Linked DNA regions of Kluyveromyces lactis. The protein of the gene in region 1 purifies or fractionates together with the protein of each later gene. This does not show direct contact. Links are inferred from orthologs where the notes say so. Each region holds a gene or a part of one and is shown in the gene's direction. Other genes may lie near its edges.

Region 1 (2,504 bases):
ATCATATCCATACTTCTTCGAATTAGTCAATCCAATGTTCAAATATTCTTCTTTCAAAGATAGTACACCCAAATCGTAGAACAACCCCCCGTTTCTGTACTCTGGTAGACCTGTTTGCAAGTCCTTGGAAGATATATTGAACTTGTAGCCAAATTCCTCTAGTGGTCTCAATAATGAATAACATAACCACTGCGTCAATTTATGAAATGACACGATAATTTCATCGTTTTCGGTTTTATACACCCAGCAATCGCCTAAAGGTTCACCGTTCAGAGTTAATCTTCCAGTAGGCCATATAGAGGTATATCCAGTCATTAGAACCTCCCACAACTGTTGCAAATCAATGTTTTCAGAGCCATTTAATTTGTAAAGGTGATCAATTATATTACCAGGCCTGGCATCTTCACCGAATAACTCAGGTCTTTCAGAAAGGGATTTCCCTAAACTTCTGATCAACTGAATTCTACCTTCGTAACCTTGCAAAGAGTTCTTACTACTTATCTGAAACCCTTTATCAAAATCTTGTTGACTGAAGTCTTTCAATCTAGAACCTTGTACTGTCTGAGATTTATCATGCGATAAGGCACCATCTTTGAACATATAGAAAGAGGCCACCGCTAGTCCTTCTGATCTGTTAATCTTAGTTTCTTTCTCAACAAAAGACCATTCTGAACCTGCACCAGCATCGACAATCACACTAAACGTTATCAAATCAATCAACCGTCTGCATACCTCCAAAGGATCGATGTTCTGGGCAGCCCAGGAATTAATGAGAGATCCCATTCTATCAATACCGTTACAGTTTAAATGTTGCCATCTTCCATGAACAGGAATATCGCCTAGGTTCTTGTAATCTCTTTCAATAATATTGACCAAGTAATCTGTCACTTTCGACATTTTACCCAGATCCACTTCAAAATGTGTACTGTCACCATTTTCTGTTTGCAAAGGGGGGCCGTATACTTTCTTACAAGTTTCCCTAACGGATTGAATGGATCTTAAGTACTCCAAGTCTTCGCATTCTGTGTGTGTCATGATAAATAGCCAGTATGTTGGTTTTTGACAGTTTCAACGGGAGATAATATACAATGCCATCAGAATTAGTTTAAGCGAAGTATCAACTGGGATAGAACTATTTCATTCACTAATGAGTGTATTTATATACTTCGTGGATGGTACACATACATTATCCTTAATTCAATCCTAAGTGTATTGGAACGTTAGTTTGCACAAAAAAGGCATTCTTATCTTTTGCAATTGACCTGTTTCGTTATTCTGGCAACGATTGATCCTTAATGTTCAAGAATCTCCGTCGCACCTCCGACGGATATTACCGGGGACTGCTCATTCTTTATACACCCGTACATATATGCCATGGGATTCTACTTTTTTGATATAATCATCCTCTCTTTCCTAAAACAGAATACTATATGAAAATTTCATGATGTTCTATGATGTCGACAAGCTAGTGCTCCGAAGTTGAAATTCTAAGCTCTCCAAGATAGATGAGCATTAGCATGGTATTGTTAAGGTTACTTACAATTAGATATTAAGTCTATTCATGTCATAAGAAACCAATAAAACTAAAAGGTATACACGATGTCTCAAGTTGAAAAGAAATCTGAACAACAACAAGAAGTTGTGATCCACAAGATCAGAATTAACTTGACCTCCACTAAGGTCAAGCAATTGGAAAACGTTTCTGCCAACATCATCAAGAATGCTGAAACTTTCAAGTTGGTCAAGAAGGGTCCAGTCAGATTACCTACTAAGGTCTTGAAGATCTCCACCAGAAAGACCCCTAACGGTGAAGGTTCTAAGACTTGGGATACTTACGAAATGAGAATCCACAAGAGATACATCGACTTGGAAGCTCCAGCTCACATCGTCAAGAGAATCACCCAAATCACCATTGAACCTGGTGTGGATGTCGAAGTCATCATCGCTGCCTAAACGCACCGATAATGATGTATTGTCAATATCAAATTGGCATTCAATGAATAACGGGCAGGAAACTAAAGTGTTGACCAGATTTACTGCACATCCTTTGAGTTTTCTACCGACATACCTTGAATTCAAATTTTTTTATTTTACTTTTATTCGATATCCAGGTCTCAAGAAAGCTCTTGTATCCTCATTCTCTAAGATTATAGTAAGACTCCTATAAAGTATGGTCAATTGTGTTCAATATAGGATGGAACCTTTTTCTGACACTTCAAAAAATGACAACCCACTCTAGGTAGGGTAGTTTATCGTGTACCTCTATTCTACTATCAGTGGTTAAAAAATAATCATATCCTCTACCAACATCTCACTCATATTTGTTTGGTTACTGTCTGGTTTATTGGTTGCTTGAATGAGTAACTTTTTTGTTGTCATGTGTTAGTGCCCTCCATCCTTTGTGTATAATTCGTACATATTTTTTTAATGGAATATGATTTTAATCATGGGACTTCAAAGCAAGGCATTCAAGCTGACAACTCGAAGCAGAGACTTCTGCAAAT
Region 2 (3,440 bases), on another chromosome or scaffold:
AACTATTAAAGAAATCCGGTGTCATCTTGGAGAGACATCAACAGAACGGTGTTGATTTCGACGAGTTTGCTCAGTTGATGATGGATTCCGGGTTATTGTTGAACGATGAGGTCACGTGGATCAGTTACCATGCAGCATACGATTACGGGTTCTTAATCAACAGGCTCATGAACACAAACATGCCCAACAACAAAGAGGACTTCGAATGGTGGGTTCAGAAATACATACCAACGTCGTACGATTTGAACCTAATTAACAAGTTAGTTCATGAGGTAACGCAACAACACCCACATCCACCACCATTACATCTATTACAAAGTCAACAGCAACAGCAACAAAACCAACAACAGCAATATACACTAGAACTACTGGCTGACGAGTTGGGGATTCCGATCTTCCCATTGTTCAGCAGCGCAGCGGGACAAAGTCTCTTGGCACTATTGGCATACACCCAACTCGGTAAATTGTCTTTGTACAAACTACGCAATGGAACAGATTTCAGTTACTACAAGAACCTGATCTACGGAATCACACAGGAGTAATATATGTGATTTTTATGTGCCAGCCTTTCATATAGAGTATCATCAATAATGCATTTATGTATGTGAATATATATATATACATACACAATCATTCTTAAAATAGGGTATAAAAGGTGGCTGACTAGCCACCGTCACTGAACTGAACTGATGCTGACCAGTGCGAAACCCACAGGTTGCAAGAGCGCAACCTGTGTACTTCATTCACCTGGCATCTCGTGAGGCATGATTTCATAAGATGATTGACGAGTTTTCCATTAAAAAATTTTGAAAATTGACTCTTTACATATAATCACTAGATGCAAACATGCACATACTTTGCTTGTGAGGGGCGTTTCTTGTTGTTAGGGTGTCTATTTGGTTCGCTTATCGGTTTTCATGCATTCATTAGAAACCAGACTTTAATCTTTAGCGATAAGTTTGAAGCGTGAGGCACATATACGGTGTTCGTAGTGCTGAAATTTCCCGTGAGTCTGGAAAAAAGCACCCATAGGAAATTAATACTTTTTTGTTATTGTATTCTAGTATACCCTATACTTTCCTGCTTGAATATCCACCGTTAATACACTTGGATTAAAACGTTGTTAGAGCGTTATTAGAGCGTGCTTTTCCCTTCTTTTTTTTTTTTTTGTTTGACAGTTTTATTTTTAATTCATTCAAAGGTCTTTCTGATTGACAACGATTGACTGTATTGCATTCATTTCATACACTTTAGCATTCCAATTTGATTTTTTGATACCCGCGATCGGTTTGAAATTGAGAGTTATCAAAGAATAGTTGAATTCTTTTACAAGAACCAGTGTGTTTTTTCCTGTTTAGATTAATTTGATACAATCACATTTGGTTTGGAAAATATGACCACTTACGATGTGAAAGAGATCGGATATGCGTTCCTAAGGACGTACTATGAACGTATGCATAATGATCCATCGAAATTGTCGTGTTTATATTCTACCACGGCGGAATTGACCCATGTGAATTATAATGAACCTATCAAGCATGACAAAGATTATTTAAACACCGTCAAGTTGATTGGTAAGGATAACATCAACAATTTCTTTACCAGAAACAGCAAGCGTGTACAGGATTTGAAGGTCAAGATTGATTCGTGTGATGTGCAATCTACTGGGTACGAGAGTTCTTCGATTCTGATATTGATATTAGGGGAGCTATGCTGGACGGATTCACCATCTTACAGATTTTGTCAGTGCTTTATCCTGGAACCAGCAGAGTATAACAGTAAAGTCTACGATTTGAAAAACGATATCATTCGTTTCATTCCTGACCTTGCTCCATTAGTGAACCCAGACCAGCCAGTATCACCACCATCTGCTGTTGTTGTTGAAGCTGAGAATGAGAAGCCAAATGTCAACGGGGACGCAGCTCCTGTTTCTGTTCCTGTATCTGTTTCTCCAGTAGTGGTAAAGGCAGCAGCGAAACCGGTTGAGATTGTCAAGCCAATTCCAACTGAGAAGCAACAGCCCTCTACTGCTCCAACGGAAACAAAAGTGGAACAACCCCAAGCCGTTTCAGTAAATAAAACTAAACCTAAGGAAAATGAGGCGATTGCGCCAGCTACTGCTCCTGCTGCTATTGCAGAAAAAGAAAAAGAAGACAAGGAAGACGAAGCACAAGCACAACCAAAAGAGCAAGCGACTTCAGCATCAGCCACCCCAACCTCAACGACAACCCGTTCTGAATCGGTGCCCCCACAAGAGGTTCCTGAAACAGAAGTCACCCCAAAGGCTGAACCAGTGAAAATGACTTGGGCAGGCAAACTCAACAAGACATCTAAACTAACTACAAACTACATCAAGGTAGATCTTCCACAAAAGAAGTCTAAAAGTCCACCTCCAAACGGATTCACCAAGTCAAACAAGAAAAGCAAGCAGCAATCGAAACCAATAGGCGACGTTATCATCCAAAACAGCAGCGGTTTCTACCCAGTATACGTGGGTAACACAAATGGGTTGACCGCATCCGAACTTGAAAGAGCTCTAATAAAAGAATACGGTGATGTCGTAAAAACCTCATTCCAAGATTCGTTCGCTGTGGTTGATTTCAGAGAAAAACCTGCAAGAGACGCTGCCATCGATGCTCAACATTTAAAAGTCGGTGAAAGAGTTATTAATTTAAACCCAAAGGGCGATAAAGCTTCTAAGTACAAAGCCAAGAACAACAGCAACAATAGTAATAGTAATTCTGGTAACACTAATCACAACACAAACGGCAACAGTTCACATAATTCCCCATCACCAGAACTCTCGTTAAACCAAGGTAATTCCACGCTTAAAAAGAGCTCAGTGAAATCCCGTAATGACAAATCAAAGAACTAATCTCATGTACTTTAATCGTAAACCCAAATCATCTCAAACCTAAATGAAAGGCGTGATAAAACCATATTATAAAAAAAAAAACCATAAAAAAAATTAACTAAAACGATGAAACTATGAGTCGGGGAAAACTTGTTAAATATATCCGTATGTAACCTATCCACATGTACATTTTATATATTTCCCTCTCACTATAAGCATATCACCGAAACATTATTGTTGTCTTCCCTTTTTGTTCCTTCTTTCTCTAAGTCACAACCCTTTGAAGTTGGTTCGAGCTTGATGAAATTTAAAGGAACAAAGATCTTCATGTGCACATCACAATGATAGAAAAGGTGATTGGCAGAAAGATCAGTGCTGAAGCCAAGGGGACAGGTGAGGAGATACAACTCTAGGGTCATAGAAACCATCAGCTATGTTAGTTCCTCCAGCGAATTTCGGGATTCCCGAGGAAGGTATCTATCGATGCAGTAAACTTGAGACCATTAACCTATCATTTTTGGAGACTTTGAATTTAAATACGATCATATTCATCGGTGGTCAAATCCCGAGTAATTTCTTCAAAGAG

The links. Proteins that work in one complex are often made in the same cells at the same time.
Region 2: the proteins of RPS20 (region 1) and BRE5 purify together in Saccharomyces cerevisiae (affinity purification with mass spectrometry; 3 studies listed by BioGRID). This does not show direct contact. The link is inferred for Kluyveromyces lactis from reciprocal best matches to the Saccharomyces cerevisiae genes RPS20 and BRE5.

Annotation. Positions count from the first base shown.
Region 1 is NC_006042.1:2,371,121-2,373,624, forward strand, and holds RPS20 (40S ribosomal protein uS10), read left to right. Parts: upstream 1-1,599; coding exon 1,600-1,953; downstream 1,954-2,504. Other genes in the region: KLLA0_F25520g (URC4/urg3 family protein), read right to left, coding at 1-1,035. UniProt on the Saccharomyces cerevisiae protein: Component of the ribosome, a large ribonucleoprotein complex responsible for the synthesis of proteins in the cell.
Region 2 is NC_006039.1:1,666,749-1,670,188, reverse strand, and holds BRE5 (Bre5p), read left to right. Parts: upstream 1-1,393; coding exon 1,394-2,875; downstream 2,876-3,440. Other genes in the region: CCR4-NOT core DEDD family RNase subunit POP2, read left to right, coding at 1-542; OCA4 (Oca4p), read left to right, coding at 3,288-3,440. UniProt on the Saccharomyces cerevisiae protein: Has a role in de-ubiquitination. In conjunction with UBP3, cleaves ubiquitin, leading to the subsequent mono-ubiquitination of sec23.